Oryzias latipes: one gene and its partners. The protein of the gene in region 1 interacts with the protein of each later gene in a biochemical or structural test. Links are inferred from orthologs where the notes say so. Each region holds a gene or a part of one and is shown in the gene's direction. Other genes may lie near its edges.

Evidence for each region.
Region 2: the proteins of E3 ubiquitin-protein ligase Siah2 (region 1) and dlst form a complex in vitro, tested with the Homo sapiens proteins (2 studies listed by BioGRID, with this or other methods). The link is inferred for Oryzias latipes from reciprocal best matches to the Homo sapiens genes SIAH2 and DLST.
Region 3: the proteins of E3 ubiquitin-protein ligase Siah2 (region 1) and egln3 form a complex in vitro, tested with the Homo sapiens proteins (2 studies listed by BioGRID). The link is inferred for Oryzias latipes from reciprocal best matches to the Homo sapiens genes SIAH2 and EGLN3.

The regions. Positions count from the first base shown.
Region 1 is NC_019872.2:23,479,506-23,483,744, reverse strand, and holds the start of E3 ubiquitin-protein ligase Siah2, read left to right. Parts: upstream 1-1,439; 5' UTR 1,440-1,644; coding exon 1,645-2,163; intron 2,164-4,239. UniProt on the Homo sapiens protein: E3 ubiquitin-protein ligase that mediates ubiquitination and subsequent proteasomal degradation of target proteins.
Region 2 is NC_019880.2:13,508,322-13,512,938, forward strand, and holds the end of dlst (dihydrolipoyllysine-residue succinyltransferase component of 2-oxoglutarate dehydrogenase complex, mitochondrial), read left to right. Parts: coding exon 1-101; intron 102-234; coding exon 235-320; intron 321-409; coding exon 410-507; intron 508-1,613; coding exon 1,614-1,744; intron 1,745-2,136; coding exon 2,137-2,210; intron 2,211-2,300; coding exon 2,301-2,384; intron 2,385-2,472; coding exon 2,473-2,640; intron 2,641-2,733; coding exon 2,734-2,868; 3' UTR 2,869-3,436; downstream 3,437-4,617. Other genes in the region: rps6kl1 (ribosomal protein S6 kinase-like 1), read right to left, coding at 4,382-4,492, 4,574-4,617. UniProt on the Homo sapiens protein: Dihydrolipoamide succinyltransferase (E2) component of the 2-oxoglutarate dehydrogenase complex. The 2-oxoglutarate dehydrogenase complex catalyzes the overall conversion of 2-oxoglutarate to succinyl-CoA and CO(2).
Region 3 is NC_019880.2:24,323,033-24,328,209, reverse strand, and holds the end of egln3 (egl nine homolog 3), read left to right. Parts: intron 1-637; coding exon 638-757; intron 758-839; coding exon 840-976; intron 977-2,218; coding exon 2,219-2,292; intron 2,293-3,469; coding exon 3,470-3,534; 3' UTR 3,535-3,996; downstream 3,997-5,177. UniProt on the Homo sapiens protein: Prolyl hydroxylase that mediates hydroxylation of proline residues in target proteins, such as PKM, TELO2, ATF4 and HIF1A. Target proteins are preferentially recognized via a LXXLAP motif.

The DNA.
Region 1 (4,239 bases):
GCCTTCAGACTTTGTGTTTGTTTGCAGCAAACTGAACTTTACTGAGTCCCATTTACACGCTTAGCAACTAAAAAAGAAGTCTTGCTTGTTCAACTAACAGCATGGATATAAAGAGAAAACACATAGGCTACAGACCATGCAGTGATCTCCAACCCTGTTCCTCGTGAGCTACTGCCCTGCTTGTTTTGCAGCTAACCCTGCTTCTGTAATTATTGGTCACCCAGATAGGGTGTGTTCAGTCAGTCAGAATCTGGGCCCACTCAATCCAGCTAATCAGGGTTGGAGATGCCTTATAAGAACTGGACTGAGTGAGTGTGACGTCACCCATAGAAAACGGCTTACTTCTGGAGTCAATTCTGGAGTCAATTCAGCCACCAGTTTTTCGCGATACAGACGCCACCATGCTGGAACCAGAAATGACCAGTAAGCAATGATTGGTCCGAATCGGTTTGAGTCTTGTATCTATGACAACCACTCTTTCCAATAAGGAGCGAGCTTGTTGAAAGTCTGCATCCCTTCCACTAGAAAGCGGGCTTGGGATAATCTGTCAATCAGATATATTGAACATGTGACATGAGACCACATGCTTTTACTGAGGACTCTGACTGGTCAGTTTATAACTTGAATACCTTGCAATAAAGAAACAAAAACATATTAAAAAGGTGGCAGCCATAGAATGATTAATCTGACAAATAGAATGACAGAGTATTTATTTTTCTAAAGAATCTGTGGTATTTTGTCTTGTTTTTGAACCAGCGGGTACTTCCTGTTTGGAACACGAAGGGGGATGGGTCACTCAGTACATATCATTGACGGTTTAATATGACAGGATGGATTGCATGTGATGTCACTCATAGAAAATGTCTTATTAATATTAATATCATTATTATAATTACTGACTTATTATTCACTTAATGTTGTGCTTTTCTAAATAATTTAAATTACATGTCAAAGAGGTCTAAAACTTATAAATGTTTAAAAATTATTTTTTTAAATTCTTTGTAATAATTGTTTTATTTGTAAGAAGTCCTGCAACTAGAAAGCGTTGTCATGTGGGCACCGACGACCTCACCAAGGTGGCGTAGCACTCCGCCACCATTGGCTAGGCTTCCGAAGTGGGCGTGTCTCCTCTCGCAATATAACTCATTGGTCCATGTCCAGTCAATAATACAATCACACACCCAGACAAATTGTAACAACCCAAGCAGGCAGAGAAGCATAATCTCTTTTCTAGATTCAGGGCCTATTTATTTGAAAACCACTTAAACAGTCAAACAGCATGGAGGTCACTTCTGCTCACAACGCCCTCACTCATGGTGAGGAACTTTACACCCAAGATTCCCCACTTCCCATGAGCCTTCGGAGCTGAAGGCAGGGCTAACCCCCAGGTCGCCACACTATATACATGCACACACACAAACTAATAATCACGTGCACACAAACATCAGTTAATATTTTTTATGCTTTTTTAAAAGCAGTATTTTTATGATCGTCCTGTTCTCCTTGGATCTTTTCTCCTTCAGCGGTTTTATTTAATATTTTTGGTCTCCAGGAAAAACATTCGTGTGAGGACACGCCTCCAGAGCTTGATTGGCTGACGCTCCTGCCATTCAGTCAGGAAGCAGCCAATGACAGCGCGCGGTCATGGTACAAACCGACAGCCGCCATGTTGGCTCTGCTGGGTCAGGTTGTGAGCGGCAGATGACAGAACCTCCGCTTCGGCCGCTCGTCGGACTAGGACCGCAGCTGGGAGCCATGAGCGGTCCGTCCTCAGCCGGAGCCGGAGGACTCGGGGCCGCGAAAGCAGGCGGGGGGAAGCACGGAGCCGCTTCAGCCGCCGCAGCTGCTGCCGCCGCGGCCGTGGCCGCCGGCGCCGGTGTGGGCTCTGTGGCCGGGTCGGGCTCGGCAGCATCTTCCTCCGTCTTGTCTCTGCCCGCAGCCGGCCTCCCCGGGCAGCCGACGGAACTCACGGCGCTGTTCGAGTGTCCCGTCTGCTTCGACTACGTGCTGCCGCCCATCCTGCAGTGCCAGTCGGGTCACCTGGTCTGCAACCCGTGCCGGCAGAAGCTGAGCTGCTGTCCGACCTGCCGCGGCCCGCTCAGCCCGAGCATCCGTAACCTGGCCATGGAGAAGGTGGCGTCCACCCTGCCGTTCCCCTGCAAGGTGAGCCGGCCGCCCAGCCCACAGTTCGGGTCCGCAGCGGTTCTGCAGTATCAACCAGCTTCTCTTTGTGGTCCAGTCGAACTTTTCTGAAACTCAGAGGGCAAACAGAATGACACAGAGGTATAAAACGTAAACAAACGAACCATCAAACTGAATGTTGCGTTCACTGTCTGAGATAACAGTAGGACATGTCAGTTTCAGGTTTTAGGAACCACAAACAATGGACCTATATTCTCTGACGTCACTTAAAAGATTACGAACGGAATTAAAGTGAGAATTCCTCCCCCCACTTCAATTTTTTGAGCATCTCCATTTGGCACAAAGTCAAGGGATAGATAAATCCACAAGTGACCTAAAACTATCTGTAGTTTAATAAAAGGCACCCTCACCCCATACCGACATTTCTGTGTAGGATGTCAGAAGGTCATTTCTGCTGTCATGTTGGATTTTTGTAAGATGGGAGTTGATGGGAAACCAGCCTGCTGTGGTCATTTGAGGAACTGCAACCTTCCCCGGACTGGCATTTAGGCACAAAAGGTAGGGGGGTCTAGGTGGGAACAGGGGCGTGGAACGCCGTGTTCCCCCCAGACGTTGTACCTAAAACAGCGGCTCAGGTTCTGTCACGGACTCGTTAAAGTTAAATGAGGGGATCAGAGCTGAAAGGTGAGTCTTGACCTCACCTGATCAGGAGGAGGGGCTGAGGGAGGACACCTGATGCTTCAAGGTGAAGACACCCTCTCTGCTGCATCAAGGCTCACACCTGAGGCAGAAGCACGATCAGGAAGTCAAGGGCAGATGTTTTAGATGACGGAGGCCTCGCTCTCACAGGTTTAGTTCTCTGGTCCGACTTAATTCAGGAATTTGGATAAGATGTTTTGATCTGGATCATGGTGAACGTGTGCACATGTCTTGTAGTTGTAGAGCTTTACTGTAGGCCCTGGTCCGTAAGGTTCTGCTTTGAGCCTTGTTCTAGCTGTTCTGCTGTGAAGCTTCTTAAACCAAACTATCTTGAAGTTGCCTCTGGATGGGAGTTTGTGCTTCACACCTCAGGTTCTTGAAGCCTTCAGGTTCAGACAACAGAGTGTTCTCTTTGTGTTTGTTTATGATGTATTTGGTCAGTTGCTTTCATTTTGGAAAAAGTTCCACCCCTTAAACGGTCTACGCCCATCATTCTTCAATCTAACCAATCAGAAGTGGTTATCGTCTTCACTTCCTCGTTCCGTGGCTCAAAGTCTCTCAGTTCCAACAAAAACATCCCCTCAAGATCGAGTTTAGCGCTGTAGCTTCCCATGGGATCCGGTGTTAGATCATTTTAAAAGTGAATAAAATAACAAAGCTTGGAGACGCTGGTCTGTCCGGCATCGATACCGCAGCACTACATCTCCCATGATTCATTGGGTTAATGTGACAGCATCTCCTCCGGTGCTGCTGTTAACTGGCATGAAGCAAACGCAGAAATCTGTTCCGTTCTAACGGTTGGAGAATCTTCTTGCTAAAATCAGAGGTAAAGGTTTGTGTTGGAGCCCAAGGAGTCATTAACGGCCAGAGGTTCCAGTCTTTTTAGTCTAAAGTCATCTTTAGATCAGAAACAGCTGCTTTCTAATAATGTCTGTTTGAAAGACAATTTCATATTCAGACTTCAGTCACTTTTCAAAAAAAAATCTAAACGGCAAAAAATGTTTGTTTTTTTATCTTTTAAATAAATAAAACCTTTTTTTTTAATTTATTTAGACAAAACAATTGTGCTTTTTTAAAGTTCCAATTTAACTTATAACCCTGAATATAGTGCTATAGTGTTTTTTTATGAATGTATTCATGCTGTGGTTACATCATTTACAGTTGCTCTTGCACAAAGGAAATGAACAAAATATTTAATGAATTAACCCTGTTTAAAAGGAACGTCGTGGTTTTATTATTTTTTTTTTTACATTTTACTAAATCGTATCTTAATAAACTGGAGGATACAACACTGCTTGAACATCCCCATACAGCCTTTAGTTGAAACAATTAAACTATCCCAACTTGTGGAAAAATCTGTTGCAACTTCAAGCGTTTTGTGCTGCAAGTGTTACAAAA
Region 2 (4,617 bases), on another chromosome or scaffold:
ACCTTCTCCTCCACCTCCTCCCCCTTCAACTGTGGGACCCATTCCCACCACCATGCCTCCTGTGCCACCTGTGCCAGCGCATGCAATGGACACTAAACCAGGTTAGGAGTCATCAACAGTCAGCAGGGGTCACATCAGAACCCTGTTGCTGTTTTCTTGACCTTTAACTTCCCATTATCAGTCCAAGGCTTAAAGTCTGGATGTTCTGACTGCCTGTTTACTCTTCTGTCATAGTTTCAGCCATTAAGCCCACTGTTTCCCAAGCTGCACCAGTGACCCACACAGAGGGCGGGGCTAAAGCAGCAAGGACAGAGAGCAGGGTAAGATCTTGAAGTACGAATATAGAGATTTGTTCCATAAAGTTCACTTTTGTCGATACGGTTTTGTTGAATATTTTTTCTGCTTTTAGGTGAAGATGAATCGCATGAGACTAAGAATTGCCCAGAGACTGAAGGAAGCCCAAAACACCTGCGCTATGCTGACAACATTTAATGAGGTCGACATGAGGTAGGAAACCGTTAATTAGATGACCTACATAAACAGACCCAGAATACAGTTTTAGATGATGCACTTCACCATTTGAACACGTTAGCAAAAACTTTTGAGGGAGTTAAAAAACTTCCAACTGTCAACTCTTTTGCACATGTGCAAGAACATTTTCTCTGGGGCTTATATGAATACATTACCTACAGGCCTCTATTGTATACATTAGTTTTAAGCCAAAGTAACACTTCCACAAATGGTTATAGATTGGAATCTGCTCAATTGGAAAAGCTTTTTGAAACACAATATCCTGTTAACGCTGGAATGTAAATATTTGGTCGTAATTCCATCTAAAAACAAAGATAAGAATTGTTAAAACAAGTTTTATTAATTTAGAAGGAAATGTTAGTGTCTGCACTTGCCCCTCTGTGCTGGAAAGGACACTTTGAGGATTTCTTTCCCCCGCAAATGTGTGGTGTCAGCTTTCGGCTATTCAGGGGTTTCTATGTATCCTAATTAGATTGACATTGATGGTCTGGAGGAAGACTTCCCAGGCTAGGGCTAATCTGAAGCTGAAGGAACTAGTCAGAACAGGAGGCTGGAGCATCTGCGAGGGCCCATAGAGACCAGCGCACTGAGTGGAAGAGCTGCCTCAACCGATATGGGCTTTTATGACAGCCCAATAAGATTTACAGGCTCTAGAAAGTGAAGATTTTTATCGCTTCTTCTCTCCTTTCTCGGAGAGTCTGTGTCTTGGGAGGGGCTAATTATGTTAGCGGAGAAACCCTAGAGCTTCAACAGGGTTAGAGACAGGAAAACAAACAATTAAAAAGATAGATATAAGAGAAAAATGAGCAATTGTGAAACAATTAACGGGATAATTTCTATAGCTTTATTAACCTTTGTGTTGTTTTAAAGCCATGAACAAAATGTTTCTGCTTACTTTTGTCCTAATGGTTAATTTTTTATGAACTTTTATTTTTCTTCTTTTAAAAAACGTCTTTCTTTGTCTTTTTGTGCATTTGTTTAAGTCCCACTTTCAAACTCAGTAGTTAAAATTTAATGTATTTTTCTTTCTTTTCTGCTTTGCACCACTTTAATTGTTCTGTACCTTTCCTCTATTCCCACAGCAACATCTCAGAGATGCGGAAGAACTACAAAGACGCCTTCCTGAAAAAGCACAACATCAAACTGGGCTTCATGTCTGCATTTGTAAAGGCCGCTGCTTATGCTCTAACTGACCAACCTGCTGTAAATGGCGGTATGAAATTGTTGGATTCAATTTTTAGACTCCAATGCCTTGGCTTTGTGGTTTCACTCTGACTGCACCTTAGCGTCTTTGGTAGGGCGTCATAGAGTCTGTATGTAGCGAAGGAAATATTTTTCATTGCCCAACCTCAAAACCAGTGTTAACTTATTTATTTCACTTAGACTGCTCTGACCTATTTAAGTCGACCACAGAGAAACGGGGGGTCTGTGCTGCTGCCTTCAAAAATCTATAATTGTCTTTGGGTTTCACTTGCACATGACAGAAAGTAGTTGATGGCAGAGGAACCTTGTCTTGAGAGGAAGTTCCTTTGGTTTTGTTTTTTCCACAGCTTAATGTTATCAAATATTTCAATTAACCAATTTTTGTTAATGCTATATTTCCAGTGATTGATGACACAACCAAAGAGATCGTGTACCGGGACTATGTTGACATCAGCGTTGCTGTTGCCACGCCAAAAGTAAGACAAGCCGCTGATATGAAAGAACAAGTGATGGATGACATTTTTGCTTCAACAACAATGAGCAGAAAATGACTACTTTTTCTTCAGGGTTTGGTGGTTCCTGTCATTCGAAATGTTGAAGGAATGAACTTTGCTGATATTGAAAAGGCGATCAATTTGTTGGGAGAAAAGGTAAGGTTTTATAGCAAGTGTGTAAAAACAAAAAAATGTGAAAATATTAGATGTTATTGTTGAGTAATTTCACATTTTGTCTTTAAAGGCTCGTAAAAATGAGCTTGCTGTTGAAGACATGGATGGAGGCACCTTTACCATCAGCAATGGAGGCGTTTTTGGGTCAATGTTCGGTACACCTATAATAAACCCCCCGCAGTCTGCTATTCTTGGCATGCATGGCATCTTTGACCGGCCCGTTGCAGTCGGTGGGAAGGTTTGTGCTCTCACATCTTATAGAGAAATGTGATCGCTGGTTCTCTAAAGCATGTAAAAGACATACAATTTACTGATCTCTTTGTTTCTCCAGGTTGAAATCCGTCCTATGATGTATGTCGCCCTGACATATGATCACCGTCTGATAGATGGAAGGGAGGCTGTCACTTTTCTGCGTAAGATCAAGTCGGTAGTGGAGGACCCCAGGGTGCTGCTCCTCGACATGTGATCTCACATCTGCTCCAACCCCAACCAAAAGGAAAAAACACAAAAAAGCTTAATAAAAGAAAACAAAGTCCGCACAAGCAGTGGCTCTACGCACTTGATAAACATTACTTTAACTGCAGTTAATGTATTGTGTTGGTCAGCTAGGAATAAAGGATCTGTGTTAAACAGTTTGATTTTGAAAAGAACATTGGAGGAAGTGATAAAATATGAGGCCGTTGTAAAGGAAGGACGGAGTTCTGAGATTTCTGGTGCTGGTCTTTAGATTAAAAAAAACAAAAAAAAAGAAGTACTTTGGTGTTTGCCATATGTCATTTTCTACATGCATCTCAAATGCTTTTGTTTATTGTAAAAATGACAAGGCAAGTACAGATGAAACTGCATATTGTAATTTTATTAATTTGGTTGAGAGCAGAACAATCCGCACAGAACTTGAAATCTCACAAAGTGAAAAAACTGAGATTTTATGCCATCTAGCGAAAGAAGTATAGAGAGAAGACCTCTCTTTTTGCCGTGTAAGAAACTATTTAAGAAGAAAAAATGTTTTAAACAATAAAAACTTCATTACCCAACTGTTTTGATTTGAATGTCATCCAGTTCCTCTGAACAAACCAGAGAAAAAGAAAGATTTGAGCGGGAGGATTTGGGACTGTATGGTCTTTATACGGTACTTTGATGCAAATTTGCATTAAACGACTTCGGGTCCAAAATTTCCTTAATTTATTTGGCTTATACTTGAAAACAAAATGGTTTTTGTTATATAGCTTAAAATATATTCAGACATGAAGAAGTTAAGTATGTTTATGACTTATGTATCTTACTCCTATTACCTTTATATCTTTAGTACTCAGCAAAAACTTTTCTACTTTTAAAGTGTGAATATAAGGCAAAAAATGGAACAAAACGGCTCATGACTGATTTATGGATTCTTTTTGATGGTAGAAAAAAGTCTTGACTCCCCATATTCAATCTTGATAAGACTAAGCATAAAATTTAAGTTTTTGACGGGAATATGTTATGATTCTGTTTTATATGTGATTCATAAAGACTGAAGACTTGGTGTATTCATTCCCTAACAGAATGACTGTTAGGACAACCATCATCCAGAATTGACGGATGTTCCTCTAGATAAGTCCAAACTTTAAAACAAATATCCGTTAGTATGAGCTGTCATTAAAAAATGTTTAACTTTAGGTTTTTGTTGATATCAAATAAATGAATCCCCTTATTGTCTATCATAGGCTTTTGTATAATAACTGAGGGAAATGAGCAGAAATGACACGTGTGGTATGTAGAATTTCATTGATCAAAACTGCATGTTAGGAATCGGTACATTTTAAAAATTAAGTAGATTGTCCTCTTTCCAGACTGTGTGTCCGCACTTCTGTCCAACCTTTGTTCGGTTCTTCATCATGGGAAGCACAGAAAGTTTCTGCGTCCTTTCTGTCCACCTCCAGCAGAACCACTAAAGTCCGGGTTGGCACAACTTTTTCAGATATGCAAAAGTAGTGATCTTGTTAGCAGGTCAAAGCTTTCCAAGATACGCCGCTGAAGAAGGGGTGACACTTGATGTCGCTCACTCCTCCCCCTCCTGAACCCAAGCGGTAGCCAGCATCAAACTGAAGCAGCTGTGGAATAAAAGAAATTACTTCATTTATTGCTGTTTTTTTTTTTTTTTTTAAGAAGGGTGTTTAGGCCTGAAACGTAACCTCAGTAAGGAGAGATGCAGCTGCAGCACTAAGGTGGTTGGGAA
Region 3 (5,177 bases), on another chromosome or scaffold:
AAGGGGAATAAAAACACCTCCAGGTGATTTATCCGTCTGCAGCCCCTCCAACCCCCACCCTGACACACTTATGTTTTTGTTTGTGCGTGCACGAGCACGTGCGCACATGCCTGAGCAAACGTGGAGCTTCCTGCTTCCTGCCAGGATGTGGATTTGGCGGCAGGTCAGCCCCCCCTCCCCCTTCCCCAGTTGACCCCCACATGTCATTCCTCACTCTGACAGTGAGGAAGAGGAGCTTATGATGGGATGTCTGTTGTGGATTCACATCAACTCCTTTTCATGACGACACAAACAACAACAACAAGTTTGTTTGATCAAAACAAATGTTGTCAAAAGTCATAAAAAGGATTAGAAATGAGACAAACCCGGCCGGATTCAGAGGTTTTGCTGTGAACCAGTTCTTGTGGCTCCACATGGGGGCGCTGTAGAGCAGCAGGACTGCTGGAATCCACAGCGGCTGAGTTGAAGTACTGATCCAAAGCTGGGAACAGTTGTGGTTCTGGAGGTTCCACTGGGACGGCAGCTGTCCGTGGGGTTTGAATTCTGAGCTTCCGTCACATCGTGAGGTGTTCTGCCGTCTGCTTGAACCCGGTCTCTGCTCTGACCCGTCCTCCTCTCGTGTGTTTCCGGTCCTTAGGCCATGGTGGCGTGTTACCCCGGAAACGGAGCCGGTTACGTCAAACATGTGGACAACCCGAACGGCGACGGACGCCGCCTCACCTGCATCTACTACCTGAACAAGAACTGGAACGTGAAGGTGAGCTGAGCTCTGCCTCTTTCGCAGACGGCGAGGAAGACGAGAAGACTTCATGCTGGGGGGCGGGGCTCTGTCCCTACAGGAGCACGGCGGCGTTCTCCGAATCTTTCCCGACGGGAAGGCATACGTGGCCGACATCAAGCCGCTGTTCGACCGGCTGCTGGTGTTCTGGTCCGACCGCAGGAACCCGCACGAGGTGCAGCCCTCCTTCTCCACCAGGTGAATGTCCGGCGCGTCGGTGCGATTCCCCACAGAAACCCCCCCAGTCTCCAGTTTCATGCTGCTGCCGCTGAACCCTCAAGCACCATTCCAGCGGATTCTGAAGTGCTGATGTGCAACACGTCCTGAGCAGGGCGCGTTCAAGCCACCACTTTCATTACAAAGTCTACGTAAACCAGCGTTTCACGCCTCCACATTCAGAACTCTAGTGAACACACACACGCTTTAAAGATCATTTGCAGGCTCTGACATTATCGAGCTTTAACCAATCAGGGACTTGGATTAGTTGGTGACGTTTGAATGGTGTCTCCCTTTAATTCATGGAAGAGCCAACCGTTTAAAAATAGATCCTGGAGGAGAATTAATGATTGCGGTTCCGGCGTTATTTTTTCACAATAAAGCTTTGTCTCTCACAGCTTTATTCTAAAAGTACTTTCAGAATAAAACCTTGTCTCTCACAGCTTTATTCTGAAAGTACTTTCAGAATAAAACTTTGTCTCTCACAGCTTTATTCGGAAATTACTTTCAGAATAAAACTTTGTCTCTCACAGCTTTATTTTGAAAGAATCACCTCAGCGATTCGCACCGCTTTGACCCATCCAGTCTCTTCTGGTGTTTAAAATCCCACATGCTGCACATGCGTTCTTGACACGTCTGGTGGGAATTTACCCTCTCAGTAGTGAAGTGCTTGTGGAATCAACATAAATCCGCTGATTCTAGGCGGAGAAAAGCGGCTTGGCGCCGTTTTGTGGTTGTCTCTCTGCATTCTAGACGTCTTCTTCCACTTTCGGCTTCTCCCATCAGGGGTCGCCACAGCGAACGAGTCGCATGGTAGATTTGGCAATGTTTTACGCCGGATGCCCTTCCTGACACAACCTTCTCAAACCGGGCTTGGAACCGGCAGAGGTAGAGAAGGGAACAGGGAGCAGCCCGGAGTCGAACCCGGGTTTCACGGACGGAAGGCGCCGCAAACCAGCACGAGCTAAACTGGCATTCTAGACGTCTGACGCTGAGGAAAAGCATCCATGTCGCTCAGCTGATTCATGGTGATCGCATTAACTGTCGAGAATTTACGGGATGTAGCAATGTGCCATTTAGGTGTCGTGTTTGGTGAAATTGGTCTTACGTTGCATAGAAGACTGTAAAATCCTGCAGATTTACAGCCCGGGATCGACGTTTTTGATCGGCTTCCATTTGTTTGTGCGTACAAAGACGAAGGCTCACCTTTGGTTCTGCTTTCAGGTACGCCATCACAGTTTGGTACTTTGACTCCGAGGAGCGAGCCGAGGCCAAGAGGCGCTTCCAGAAAGTGACGGGTGAGTCTGTGTGACGAAGGCTTACACAGCAGAAACACAATCTGACCCACAATGCCCTGCAGTCACATCAGGGTCTGCAGCCTTCAGCCTTAACCCTTGTGCTATCTTAGATGACCCCACCCTTACATTGACGCGTTATTCCTACCATGACAAAGGTGGATAAAGGTGGAAAGATTTCATGTAATCCATGGACACCAGTGAAGATCACAAATCATTGAAGAAAAAAGGTTCAGAGCACTGTCTAGTGCAGGGGTGGGCAATTCCAGGCCTCGAGGGCCGGTGTGTCTGCATGATTTCCAGATAGTCTTGCCCTACTCATGGCTGATTACCTGGTTCAGGTGTGTCCAGCCAATTAGAACATGCCAGAGCAGGGTATGCTGGCAAACATGCAGGAATGCGGCCCTCAGTGCCCACCTCTGTTCTAGTGGATCTAGATGACCCAACTCCCAATGTTAAAGTGCCTATGATAGCACAAGGGTTACAAAAGCCTTGAGGTACTGACTAAAGCCCAACAAAACCCAGAAAGACCCTCTGCACTTTATACAAAAATACACTTTTTTTAAGTTTTTGTGGCCACTTAACCATTCATTAATAAAATGTTTCTTTATATTTATATAACAACATATAAGTTCCTTTCAAAATAAAATGCATCCCGTGTCAATACGATCTTCCTGCTGCAGGAGTTTTGCTGAAATTAAAATAAAAAAGTCAAACTTGATCATTTCCATCATAACTCTGGTGCACCATCGTCCTTTTTCTCTTTTTACTATTGAATAGAAACAACAGTGTTGTAGAATCTAATTTTAATTAAAAATCTATGCATATTAATGCAAATGTAACTTGCAGCTAAACAGAAACTAGACTAGATCAGAATATGTGCTTTAAGCTTTTTCTAATACCAGTAGATTAAACCTTTTAAAATGATTTTTGCTCATTTATCTGACACTTGAACAACTAAAATTAATAAAATGAACTAAAAGAAGTTGATTTAAATCATCGATATATTTCTTCAAGCCCAAAGAGCCACAGTGGGGGCTCCAGTTGTGGACCCCTAGTCTTCTCTGGGTTCAGCATTTAGCTGCAAATGAGACAAACCTGGATCCCTGGCTGAGTCGGCACATTTCAGTAGAATTCGCTGTAGATATTTTTTAAAGTCCGGGTTTCTTCTGTGTTTCAGCGAACACACACAGCCGGACTGCAGCCCCCCCTGACTGTGAGAAGACACTGCCACCTGGTGTTTGAGATGGGGAACAGCGTCAACTCCTGGCTCTTGATCTTCCCACGCAGACGTGGGCTGGTGTTTCCCCGACTCAGGACGGGATTTCTGCTGTGTCGTGATCCTGGACAGTGACCCACCTGAAGACTGCCCCGTTCTGACGGGGGTGGGAGGGGTCCTGAGAGGTTTGCGCAGAGACGATGCTTTCAGGCCTCAGCGTTCTGCAGAAGGCCGGCGCCGGCACACGGTGCCGTTCACTGAAGGCACGGATGAATGAGACTTGAACTTGGAGCTCCTGAAGTGCAGACTCCGCCTCCACCCAGAAGCCGTTCATGAAAGCTTCCCTTCGTGGTCAGACGGGGACGTGGACTCACAGTCTGCTTGTTTACACACACTGATGGATTCAAGTGTGATGGAAATGTTGTTTGTAGTAAGAAAGCCTTTTTTCTGAATTTAAGGTCATTAAAAATATCTATAACTTCAGCTTCCATTACTTCTCATTCTCCTTTTTGGGTGGAGGGGAACAGTTATAAATCAGCAGTTTCAAAGCAACAGAAAAATGCTCTGATGGAAGGTTTTGAAGAAATACCACATGCTGACAATTGATCAATTAGCAGCAGAATGGAGGAACAGCCCACTGCCGCCTTTACTGGGTGCGAGGAAAGCTTTATTTGTTGTACAGAAAGGTATAGATGATCTTTGGCTCTGGGACAATGATGTCTTCTGTGTGTGGGATCAGCTTAGGCCATAGATGAATAAACCGCCAGACTAACCCAGAAATGGTGTTCTTGATGTTTAGGACATGTTTAACCCTTGTGCTATCCTAGGCACTTTAACATTGGGAGTTGGGTCATCTAGACCCACTAGACAGTGGTCTGAACCTTTTTTCTTCAATGATTTGTGATCTTCACTGGTGTCCATGGATTACATGAAATCTTTCCACCTTTATCCACCTTTGTCATGGTAGGGAGAACACGTCAATGTAAGGGTGGGGGTCATCTAAGATAGAACAAGGGATAAAGGTGTGTAGACATCAGCTTTTAGACGTTTAAATTGAGCTCCGCTTTCATTGGAGTCGTCGCAGTCAACGATGACAGAAATGATTGTGTGAATGAACTGGAGAAAACGCTAAGAAGATACTTTCTGAACAGTAAATAGAAGTAAAAAAAATTATCTTCCCACTTTCTTTAAAACTATTAATTAAATTCTATTTGACAACTATCATATTTAATTCAGGGTGTCATTAACTGTACGGATATTTGTGGGGAGGAGGAATAATATTGTCAAGAAAATAGCATCATTTTGTTTGTTCATGAATTCATATGGATTTCACATCCATTTTTATTCTTTTATTTATTTCTGCAATTGTTTGAAGTAAACCAAAACCAGAAATCGATGTTTTTCAGATCAATAATAATAAATCCTGAAGTCAAAGATGTTTTGTTTTTAGCCTTTTTAAGTGTAATTTGGTGAATCCTTACGTTTTTAATGTTTGCTTTGTGCTTATTAGCTCTTGTTTATTAGCATTTGCATTCTTTCAAAATGTTTCCATGGGGGTGTCTGCAATGGGGGGGTTGTTTGGGCTGGCCGATGCTACAGATTGTTCTCCTGGGACGTTGTTCTCCAAGGGCTGTTTTTGGGGGAGTTGAGAAGATTTATTCTATTTTTT